2 linked regions of the Drosophila melanogaster genome follow. The protein of the gene in region 1 interacts with the protein of each later gene in a pairwise test. Each region holds a gene or a part of one and is shown in the gene's direction. Other genes may lie near its edges.

The links. The genes of interacting proteins can lie anywhere in the genome.
Region 2: the proteins of CASK (region 1) and eag interact in binary tests that used the Drosophila melanogaster proteins (3 or more experiments, as listed by UniProt).

Annotation. Positions count from the first base shown.
Region 1 is NT_033777.3:21,818,560-21,824,675, reverse strand, and holds the start of CASK (CASK), read left to right. Parts: upstream 1-2,001; 5' UTR 2,002-2,193; intron 2,194-3,652; 5' UTR 3,653-3,970; coding exon 3,971-4,029; intron 4,030-4,909; coding exon 4,910-5,022; intron 5,023-5,552; coding exon 5,553-5,658; intron 5,659-5,726; coding exon 5,727-5,804; intron 5,805-6,116.
Region 2 is NC_004354.4:14,952,744-14,959,194, forward strand, and holds the start of eag (ether a go-go), read left to right. Parts: upstream 1-2,733; 5' UTR 2,734-2,806; intron 2,807-3,121; 5' UTR 3,122-3,386; intron 3,387-6,451. Other genes in the region: CG9030 (uncharacterized protein), read right to left, coding at 1,458-1,703, 1,805-1,978, 2,041-2,253. UniProt on the Drosophila melanogaster protein: Structural component of a potassium channel. Mediates the potassium permeability of membranes; potassium current is regulated by CaMKII and CASK. Has a role in growth of the perineurial glial layer of the larval peripheral nerve.

The DNA of each region.
Region 1 (6,116 bases):
ATTTGATTTTGATTTCACCTGAGTGGCTGAGCCTTTTTCCCTGCCCTTTTGTTGTTCTCCTTTTATCGAGTCGAGTATTTTTGTTTTCCGATTTTTTCCTTCTGCTCTGCTTACCGTGTTCCTTTTGGTGTTTTTGTTTTTTTTTTTTATTGTCAACCAACGCAGCAAACAAATGCAAAGCAACGACCTACGACTTCTCACCGTGAGTTGTGTATTATATCTCCGCTTTGTGCTTTTTTTTTATTAGGGTACAGTGGTAATTGGATAATATTTTTATATATATATATTTTTCAAGATTCGCGTTTTAAATAAAAAAACAAAATTTTTTTTTCTTTTCTATATATTTTAGCTGGCTGATACAAGTAGGTAAAACCACTTAAGAATGAGGAAGGTGTGTACTTTTTAGTTTATACCCAAACTATTTGATTGATCTCACAAATTATGAAAGAAGTTGTATAAATTAAAAAAAAAATTAATTACTTTTTTATTATTTCTGAATATTTCATAGTGCGTATAATTTAATTGGCTGCTATTTTACAATCGAAAGGTGGACATTAGTGGGTGACCACTGTTGTTATTGCTGATCATTAACACTTGTTGTTTTTGCTGCTCATCTCGAAATGGTTGTTGGTGCTTATCCTTTTCGACTATATCCCCCGTAGTAATATGGCCATATTGAGTTCATTTTCATCAGGTCTTTCTTCATTTGGCTGATGGTTTTGTGTTTGTTGCTCCCTTATTGGCTTGTTGTTTCTCTTGCATCTTATCTGTGTGTTGTTGTCGTTGGGCGTTTGGCGGTGATTGTTGTTGTTGTTGCTGTTCGAGGTTTTGTAATTGATGATGTTTATGTTTGAGTATTGGCCCCCGTCACCAGCCCCTTCCAACTGATTTAAAGATTACGCACCTACGGTTTTTATTTTTTATTTTCGAGGAGTGCGTGTGGGTTTTCCTCGTCTTCGGTTGAGGGACTCCTGTGTGTGTGCCTGGCATATTAATGCCAAGATCTTAATTTATTCTAATGGGTTTATCAAATGCTGTGGGGTAATAATAATAATAATAGATAAAGTTGAATGGCGCGAAAGAGAAGTAATGTAAATAATATGGTAATATTCAATGAGCTGTGAACGAGCCTGGCGATAAAGTAAGTTGATAAAGGTTCTGTAGTGAAAATCCCTGTATTAACACACTGGTGGCTTAGTCCAGTTAAATAAATCGTGAATCATTTTTGAAGGGGAAAATGTTTACTTTCAAGTTGATGAATGGTAATTGGCATCGTATTGCCGATAAAACTGGAAAGTGTTCGAAATTCGTATGTGCAATATTCCACAATAGCTTTATGCACTTGCTTGCGTACCGCATAAATATTTACCTCCATTTGACTTCACTCAAGCGGAAACAATTCAGTGTGCAATGAATTATCTTACTTTCGAGTAAATTTATTAAGCATGCAGTGGGTATTTATCAAAGGAAAACAACTGCCTTTTGCTGATAAGTCAAGCAAATAAAAGCATATGCAAAATGCTACCGAAGAGAAAGGAGCAGGAAAATATAATTTACTTTTTCTTTAACAAAATTAAAGTTTTAATAGTATTTATTTTCAATTTCGATAAAACATCTGTGTCGTTATGAATGACTATATTCTTAACAATATTCCAAAATTATACTTTCTCGTCCCCAAAACTTTTTTTCAAAAACTTCCGCGCAAATTTTAACAGACCAAATAAAGTTAATAACAAAATGACAGAAAAGCTTAGATACCAACGGGTTTCTGGTATTTTTCCAGTATAACCAGTTGCTTGATTCAAACAAACTTTCTTGAATTAAAACTTTGATTAACGAAGTAAGTTGCTGCAGTACCACCCTTAAATTTATTTTAAAAACAATATTTTTAATGAACACAGGTTGGTATCAATTTTCAATGGGAGAGCCGTGAACCGACTCCAAGTTCCGAACCAATCCAGCAATGCACCTGCAGCCCTGGAATTCTAGTTCGCGGCGAACCGGTTCAGTTGCAACCAGTTCTTCGCCAATCAATTCCTCACGGGCCGTGTTTGTTTTAAGTTAAAATTAGTAAATTACCCAATGCAATCAGCTTGCCAGGCGATTCGTGCTGCGCACCTAGACAATCGAGTGCTAATGCGATTCGCTAAAATGCCAAAAACCAGCGGCCGTTGAAGAATCGCTGCCAAATCGGTGGGTTTTCGTACATAAAACTATATGCGAATTGTTCGTGCCAGTGTGTGTTCGTGTGTGTGTGTGTGTGTGTGGTGTGAGTGTGGCCCCCTCTATGTGTGGCCGATAAAGGGGGCGGTGTCGTTGATAAGGGGGCGTGGAACATGAGCAATGCAAATCCTTTAGACAAAGAATCAATTTGCCAATTGTGCGACACTCGAGAGTCTCAAAAAGTCCTAAAAGCAGGGCCAAATGCACACACATAGTCAGTGAGTGAGTGTATGTGGGTGTGGGTGGGTGCGTTAGTGAGGTGGGCGGTAAGGTCGTGTGGAAAGTGTCAAGGCATTTTACAACAGCGGCACACGAGCAAGGTAAAACCCTCGAGCCCGAATACTAAAACCGAGCCAAAAACACCGCGCCCCATGCGCAGCTCTGCATTAAACATGACTACCAGAAAGTCCTTCGCGGGGATTCCCCGCAAATGCTCCGTCCTGCTCTCGCAGTCGCAACTCAGTTCTCCACATTTCGTGTGTGCATCGTAAATTGTTGCACATTTAAATATTCATGCAGCCCGGGCAGAAAGCATAGCTTATATTTTTTACGATTACAATTTTGGTGCTTTACACGAATTTCCCACGGCGCCGGCGCACTTTACATCCATGCTCGCCATCTTTCTCGCACTCCTTCGCTCTCTTTCACACTCTCTCGCTCTCTGGCTTTCTCCTTTCGGATTTTTGGAGTGCCATCAAAGTTTTGAAAAGTATGTTCAAGTGCTGGACCAAAAGGCATAATAATAGTATGGCCAAGACAAAGGTAGCGCCTCCCATCCACCCTCCCCCCCTGCGAACTTTCCCCGCGAACATCCTTGGAACGAGACCCTCGAAAAGGACACATTCTGCAGGTCCTGCTGGCTTGTTTACCTTTTCAGCTGGCCATCATTTCCGTTGCAAAATTCACAACGCCCACTGTGCGGGGATACTTCCTTCCTACCATTGGCACTTTCGACAGCATTTTGTGCATTTGTGGTGTGTGCCGCCTGTAATTGATTGGGGTTTACACCTGATATGAGTGTGATTGACATATCAAACAAGTTTCGGCCAGGCCAGTCTCATTTCCGTTGCGACACCATTAACAGTGGTCCCTCGAAAAGTGTTCCCATCACACAAGTGTCAACACGCCAGCCCAACTTTATAGTGGCATTTTCAATTTGATTGATTCAGATAGCATTATAAACTTAACTTAGTTTGTAAGTAAGATTACAAAATATTTAGGAAATTATTAGCAAATTTTCTTGATTAAAATCTGTGTATAATTTTTCACAAATGTAAACAAATTTGTTTATATTTGCGTCATCTGCTTGACAGAATTCTCGCAAAGCTTCTTGACAGTTTCTTAATTAGACGCCAAATAAATCTGATTAGCGGCCTTCAACTAATGGAAAAACTCACCTTCACCATTTTCACTTGTTATATTTTTCCAGCGCAAAATGCATTCTTAACATCAGCAGCTACGAAAACAGCAACAGCATTAGCGGCAACAACGAATCAACGACACCAATAACAATACCATTAACAACAAATCATCAGAAGAAACCGAAGGAAAACGCTCAAAGTTTTGGAGTTGCTCACTGGCCGCTTAGTTTTTTGTTTATTTTTTATGTTCGTTTTTGGAGGGCAGTAGGCGACGACGGGCAAAGGAAGCGGGAGAAGGAAAAGCGACGGACACGAAAAACAGGACACAACTCATCAATATTCGAAAAAGCAATTGAGTCGAGGCATCAATTCATCAATTATTCAAAATGACCGAAGACGAAATTCTCTTTGACGACGTCTACGAGCTGTGCGAGGTCATTGGCAAGTAAGTTAGCGCCCCACCGGCTATATCTTTAGCCGATTCTGCTGCTGACAGCTGGCATCCATGGCCATTATCTCATTATGTATTATGTATCCGCCCCGTATGCCCATCCCACCCACCCAGAAGCCGTAAATCATGCAACTATTGGCCTGGGACGAAGCCAGCTCCCCTCTATAAAAAACTTTCCCAAACGCCCAACTTTTGCATTATTCAAAAATGTATGACCAAACATTTTCTGTGCTAGTTACTTTTGCTGTGATCATCATAGTTTAGCCAGAAGTTCATTCACAAAGCTGTCAATGTTATTAAGTTGAACTTTGTTTAATTTCGTTGGAAAAATATTTTTCACTGATGTTGAAAATGTTCCATTAACACACTTCTAAAGTTTATTGAAAATGAAGTGTGAGTCACTAAATAGCACGTTTTTTAATTTTTTGCAATTTATAATCTATAAACTATAAGCAAAATGACGACCTTGAATCGCAATAGTTTTCCAAATTCAGCTTGGTGACATAGTTCAATAAAAATTAATCACGCTCATAAAACAAGATGATAGGAAATCGTTGCTTGACTTTAAATGAGTTATTGAATAGGAATTTGTAAGAAAATTAAAATTTATTTGTAAAATAATCATCAGTAATGTTATGGCAAGCTTTTGTATTAAAACCCCACGTTTGTAACTACAAAGAGAATACATAGTTGATTAAATTTCCTCTTTCTCAAGTATCTTGTTTGCTTTTAGACGCTCGGAAAATATAAATATTTTGCTTTTGTCGAAGCAAGATAAAATTTTATTCGCTCCCATTTAGACACAATCAACTTTCAATTGAAGTTTAATCCGAATTTACTTTATTCCCCCCCCATCCGGGATTGTTTCTTACAGAGGACCTTTCTCCATCGTAAGGCGATGCATACACAGGGAGTCCAATCAGCAGTTTGCCGTCAAAATCGTTGATGTGGCCAAGTTCACAGCGAGTCCTGGACTGAGCACAGCGGGTGAGGATTATATACACAATACACCTATATATATATGTATACACTCCGCTTTTATTTTTGACGGCACAATGAGACGACCTTGTTCGATTTGGCCCCGGGCTACCGATTCCTGACTCCTCCAGAGCGCTGTGTGAATAAATTATAATTAAGCTGCTCAATTATTCAAAATTATGCCGCTGCCACACGTGTAGCACGCCCCCAGGGCTGCCCGTTTGCCAGCCCAAGACGCCAATTAAAAAGAAATTGCTCAAGTGCAAGGGCGCCAGGACCTGAGCCTGAATCAGGACATGGACACGAACCCGGACGTGGATGTGAATGTGGACGAGGAGCAGCCATCCGACCATTGACTAAATGATACATGGCAGGCACATAAGTCAGCGCTAAGTCCATTAGTGCCACTGCCAGCTGGTGTAGTGGGTGGTACTCCCCACGTGCCCCATTCCAATGTCAACTAATTGCCGCTGTTGGCCCCAACCTCGTTCAATCTGAACTCACGCCCCCATTCTCTGCATATTTTTTTCTTTTTGCAGATCTGAAGCGCGAGGCCACAATATGTCACATGTTAAAGCATCCGCACATTGTAGAGCTGCTGGAGACGTACAGTTCCGAGGGAATGCTCTACATGGTCTTCGAGTTGTAAGTTGTCAGGTTCGGTGGTGTCCTTGTGCCCATCGCTAATGTCCTTTCGCTTTGCACTCTTGCAGCATGGAGGGCTCCGACTTGTGCTTCGAGGTTGTGCGGCGTGCTGTTGCCGGTTTTGTCTACAGCGAGGCGGTTGCTTGGTGAGAATCGGGCAGAATTGCCACAATGCCACAATCTGCGTTTGTTTTGGCCCAAAAGGGAGTAAATTATTAATTATAATTAATTAAAAGACGTGCCCGGCAGTAATTTGATTTGAGCAAACCCAATTTAGTTGTCTATTCGAGAGATTAACATTCAAGATAATTTATATGAGTAATTAAACGTGTGCTATTTAAACACAAGTAACGAGTAATGGAATAAATCAAATTAAACGATGCTACTTCTATTTTATACTTATATATGGCTTCTGTATATAAGTATTCCCAATTAAGTAGACGCCCAAAACAAGCGCA
Region 2 (6,451 bases), on another chromosome or scaffold:
AAACGTGCTATAATGGATCACTAATGTATTATCTGTTAAGTTTGGTATAACCAGTCTTAAATATAAATCATGTTTCTATGATAGAGATCTTCGAAATGTTAACGTTTCGGATCATTTTTTTTTTTAAATAAAGCGTAAAGAACTACGTGGGGCTTTAAAGGTTATTTTAAAAACTAAATGATAAGATCTACTTATGTAAATAATAAAAGATACTGACTTCGTTTGTCTCAACTTTCTCTTGAGACTTATAAAGAAGCCCAACGATCAATAAGTAATTTCTGTGTAATGCCAAGAGAAGATTTTATGATATTTTGCGTACAGATGTTGGATATGCTAAAAGTTCGAACTAGCCTGTGCGGGAGCATGCAAAATGTGTGCGTTTCGCGCAAACGAGTCGTCGTACTTTCTTGGTGCTGTTTTGTGTTGAACTTTGGACCCTGGCTCAGCCCCCTTCCCCTTATGACCGTTGAAAGCGGGACCAAAACAAACTCCAAAATGTTTATCTCAGCAAACCAGTTTTTCTCAACTTCATTAAGACGGTTGCATGTGAGTTTTTGGCTTCGTTTTTCGTTGCTTTTTTGTTTTATTATTATACGTCTGTTTTTCTTTTCATTTGCTGCAGCTCCAACTTGTTTATCTTGGCTATTTTCGAGCTTGGTTATGGGTGGGATTTAGATTTCAGAGGTGAACCCAACAGCCTTTTCAGTTGTTTTATCAGTTTTTAGTGGGGGGATTTGCCACAGGTTACAGTTTTTCGTCTATCACTCACGCAAACACCTGCGCACTAATTCGGTAATCTGTTGTGCTCAGTGTTCGCTGGGGAACTGCCACCAACTTGATGCTCTGTCCTAAAAAAAGGGTGCCGTGGAGCGCGGAGGTGGCGGGTCTGAACGTCTTTGCAACGTGCTCTCTTGAAAAGAGAGGTAGATGGTGAGCGAACACGCTGCTTGCGGGGGTGGGTTTAGACATCAGTAATGGTTATTTAGCCATTTTTTTTTTAATTCTATATTTTTATTTTTATTTTATAACAAATATTTAATAGATAGATAGAAAGTGACAGTATTACATTTTGTCATATTTCATGATTCCTAAAATCATGTTTAGTACCAATATTAATCATTACATATTATTAAATGGGTTTTTTAACCTCAAAAAGAAGCTTTCAATTCCTATTTAAAACAGATCTATTTATTAAGTTCCTCTAAGCCTAAGTTGTTCTTTAGGATAAAATGTGATCCATAAAGCTTAAAAACCAAAAGCTTTATAACAATTGAAGCGTTAATAACAATGTTGCACATGTGCGCTACCTGTTGGTCAATTGCCATTACTCGGCACAACATCCAGGTGGCGCTGTTTTTGTTAAATAATTAATTTTTTTTATTACATTTTGTTAATATGAGAAAAATACAGTACGACGTAAAATGTAGTTAAATATTATTTTCACTTATTTTGACAATTTATGGGGCATATCTTTCCATTGACCACCAAACAACATCCTGATAACCGTAAAATTCGATCAGTTGCCTGAGAGTCGACCGCACAGAAAGGACACAGTACAAGTTGATAACCGGGATCAAAGTCTTGAACAAGAAGCCGTTGCCTATAGTCCTGTTCACTAAGGCATCTGACAGCACCAATAATATATCGATGGATGTAATGGTGGCATAAATCACAAACCATGGACCAATGTAATGCGGCTTGAGCTGGATTCAAATAATGTTTACAATATATTAATGGAATTCAAAGAAGTTTTTGAATAGATATCGTTTTTTTTTTTTTTGTATATGATATTTTTAGTACTCACGGTGGCCAAGGCGTATAGCAGTATTGTCCACGCCGTTAACATTAAAATGCATCCGATGATACGAAAGCGGCGCAATTGCTTGTATTTGAAATTCTTTACCTTCCTTAGCCGATGCGACTTCTTCAGATGCGCCTTCTTGAACAAAATGCTTATGAATTCTAGACAATTGTGAGTCTGTGTTGAGATAGGTGTAATAAATGCACATCTGAAATATAAAGCAATTTGCATATACGCACCGATCCAATGATACTAATGCCCAGAGCATAGTAGAACATGAGGGGGAATATCTGCTCGGAGAACCAAAACAATCTGCCTGCACGCTGATTGTTCGCATCGAAATTAGGCGGGAACTTCCAGATGGAGTATGTTCTGCAGGTGGGTAAGGGTATATCCATATACCTGTGCGCAATGTAGCATAGCACATCACTGAGACACCTTTTGGTATACATGGCGAACTCAGCTAAAGTTTGTACAAATCAATTTTCAATCACAAAAGATGCCTGAAAAATGAGTACAAAATTTTGGTGCAAAGGGAAATGGACTGACTGACTGACTGAAGGGTGACGAATAAAAAATGGAAAAGATTAGATCATTAAAACGTGGCCAACTACTCTCTCTGACGACTATATCATTTTTCCAGTGAATGGAGCTCTTTAAATTCGCCCAGTTTATTTATTTGAAAATCGATAGGAATCGTGTTTCTTTGCCATTTAACCGTTTTTGCCATACGTGCTGATATATCGATACTAACGTGAGTAGCGCCACCTAGCGGGTGGGTAGAACGCTGCACACCATCGATGATTGTCAATGTGAAAGTAACGGTACAATCGGCAGCGACATCGATGTTTTCCCAGCTCTAGCAGCGCGCAACTCACTCGTAGTCGACTTTTAGGTGCGTAGTCGCGAAAAACTATGAAGACGCAACTCTCGCGTCGAGCGGTCCTCAGAATCCGGGATTCGTCCTCCAGTTCGAAAATCCAGCAAATAAATCCAGCATTTTGTGTGCGCCAATCGAATACGATTTTTTTTTATTTTTTTTTCGCCTGAAATATTTTGAAAATTACAACAGTGTAAACGGTGGGAGGGGGTGGTGGTGTGGCGAGAGGGGATTTATGGAAGGGGGAAGTGGGGGCGCCGCGCACGTGTCGACGTCGCAGTAGGCGTCGCAGTCGGCAATTGTTGCACGCTGCTGATCCTACGCGTTTCTCGTTTCATGTTCTTTCTTGTTTGTTGTGTGCTTCTTCGTGTCCCGTTAATTGTTGTTTCTTCTTCTTGTCCTCCTCCACCACCACCTTCACCTACGCTGCTCAACTGCAGTGCAAAGTGAAACGCGAAGAACGCGTTGCAGAATAATCACATCGCAAATACGGCGAAGGCAGGAAAAATTGAAAAGAATTGAAGAATCCAGCGAAAACCAGTGAAGAATCGGAATCAAAGAAAGTATCGGAATCAGCGGAATAACACTAAAAATAAACATACTTATATATATATTAAACATATATATACATATATGTATATATATTTAACCACCATTTAAAAGCAATCAAAAAGCAACTAAACAAACAACAAAAAGCAACAAAAGGTAATCACAAAAGGCTAGGACGAAATATTGTGTAATAAACTTGAATTTCTTTTACTTGCCGCAAAGAAATGGGGAAAAAAATAAAATGAAATAATATATAGAAAAGGAAGCTAGCGAAAGGGGAAGAGTGAGCGAGAAGGCGGCATAAACACACTTCTAATTGTAATTGTTGTCTTTTGTCGTTCTGCCGGCGTCGCTGTCGGCGCTAAAACTTTTTCCTGGCGGCGCAAAAGAGACAGCGCGAACGGCGAAGTTTTGCCCGAAAGAAAATGTAAGGAAAAGCAAAGAAAATTGAAATGAGCAGGGAGCCAGGAGTCGGAGTCGTGGAAAAATGGAACATAATAAGTTAAATTTGCGTGCTCTTGGTTTTCCGTCGATTCATGCTTCGTTTTTTCATTATTTATTTATTCAGTTTTGCGCTGGTTCCTTATTGTTTTCTTAATTTCTTGATGTTTTTCCAGCTATTTCCTACTCCCCGTCATTGAATGTGTGTCAGCCAACAGAAAATGAAATGCGCAATTATGTCAGCAAGCAAATAAAGCGAAAAAAGTTTTAGCAACTACATCAATTGCTTGTTTTTCAAGTGCAACCAACACACAAGCACTCACACACACGCACACACAACGCACTTTGCGGTTGCATAAGTGTCAAACGCAACACACGCTTACAGTTTGACAGTAATTGCGCTCAGAAGTTCAAAAGACAACAAAATACGTTTATTTTTGTGGGAAAATGAAGTCTGTATTATTTAATCAGTGCACTTATGCCCATGTGGCAACTTAATCTAGCTGCAGTGAGAAAAAGAAAACGGTCCTTGAGCAGAACACCAAATAAGTGTGCTATAAATATAGTTTTTACGAATTTCAGATATGCAGTGCGCCTATGCAATACGAATTTAACTTTGCTGCCAACTGAATTTGAAGGAGTATTTGTATTGTATTTCCGGTGCTCGCAGAGCAAAAGGGTATATTCGATTCGTATATGTTTAAGTGATAAAAGTTTCAATGTAAAGGTGAAAAAGAGTGCAAATGTGGGTGGCCTGCGTTAGTTGACATCCGTACAAGATTGATATTGATGCCCTTTACACCCACACAGGCGCAACATTACAAACGCTCCCAAACGCACACACTTACATATGTATACTCTCACAGACACACACATACTGTGAGTCACAGCAACAGGAAACGGGTGAAACTACTTAAATATTTAAAGCATTTGATGCCGAAAGGAGAGGGGGCGATAAACAGAGCGAGACGGAGAGGGGGAAAATTGAATGGGTCGGCCCACTTTTTGCGCCTGGAAGTATGCAAACAATGCCAAATGGCACCAGCACAGAAATGCCGAGTAAATCTTGAGAGCAAGTTTTCCGCCCGCCGAAGAAAACGCGAAAAACCCACAGCCAGGAGAAAATAAAAGAACAACCAAATTCACGAGAAGAGCCCAACAATTTTGTCACGCATGTGTGGCTACAAGTGTGTGTGTGTGTGTGTGTGCCTGAGCGTGCGTGTGTGTTTGTGGGCCAAATGAAAAGAGCCAAAACATTAAAAATGTACCAGCAACCACAACAACACAAATGACAAAAATAACAAGAATAACGGGAATAGCACAGGAAAAGTCCAAGCTGACGGGCGCCGCAATTTGCTGTCAACATAAAATAAATAAAATAAAATAAAAAGAACAAGAAGCAATACCCACACACACACACACGCACATATGTATATGGCCAGTGTGTATGTGTATATATCTTGTTTATAAATCTTTTGTACACTTTTGGCAGTTGACTTTTAGCGCCGACTGTTCCCATTTTCCCATGTTTTCGCATTTTCACGTTCTTTGTAATTTTCAATTTTACTTTGCGCATATTTAATAGCACAAATCGTAAATTAGATTCGCCACACATACATATAGTCCTATTTGTGCACTGAACGCAAAATATGCAGCCTTTAACGGAATAAAATTAAATATACATATATTCTAAGCGATTTATTTTGCAAACTCATTATGATCAATATTTAATTTACATACAATTTTCATACAATTCAGTTAAATATCGAAATTATCTAGAATCTCCAATTTCTATCAGTGTCTTTTCCCTAGCTCCCACTTTTATTACCCAAAAGTTAATGAAGTGTAAGTGTTGTGGAAGGGAAAGGCCCTAGGAATATCCTGCCTAATCAATCAAGCGGCACCAATAAGCCTTTAAACAGATTTGCAAATTTAAAGCATTACGTACTGTGCACGAGCATTTGAATGGTTTGCCAGCGGATTTCCATAGAATATGTTAAATGCCTAACTGCCACCCGTCACTTTTTATATTTTATTCTTTCCCTGACCCTCCGCAAGTGTTTAATGTTTGACATCCGCTGGCATCCGTGTTGCCTTGCCGTCGCTTCCGTTTCCGGATGCTGCTGCACTTCCCCTGCGCACCCTGCTCTTCAACTAACTGCATTATCGCTTATCTACACTGAGCGGAAATGCGGTAATTCATAAATGATTTGCTGCTTCGATTGGCTCATTTATTTTTCGAAGCAAATCATATTTCACCAATTACATCTATTCCAATTGCTTGTATATAGTTTTAGATATTATTTATGTTTTTTATTGAACAGTGTATAAAAATAAAGTTAAGCCTCATGGCTTAATATTTATCCAGAAGCTTCGTGGCAGGTCCCGCCATATTTTTCTACTGAGGTTTCGTTGCGCAGGCAGTGCGGCACTTATCGCTTATATATATGTACAGTGAAGCCAGACCAGTTGGACCACCTGCTGACTTCCTGTCAGATTGTCAGATTGTCAGACTGGTTAGCTTGGCTTTTGGCTGCGGCTTCTTTGCTGGCAGCTGCTCGCAGGACTCGGAAAACTCGCTCCCCGCGTCCTTGTCCTCGTTGACCTTGTGCCCGAGATTTGGCTGTCTGTCGTATCAAAACAAGTTTATTAACATTCCACTGGCTATCAAAGCGGTGCTGTGCTACGCACCCCCGGCCCCATCCCGCCAAGGCAGTTGGCAGGTGCCCAGGGGTTGGGGGCTTTGGGTGGATAGACAATTACATATGTAAAATGTGGCC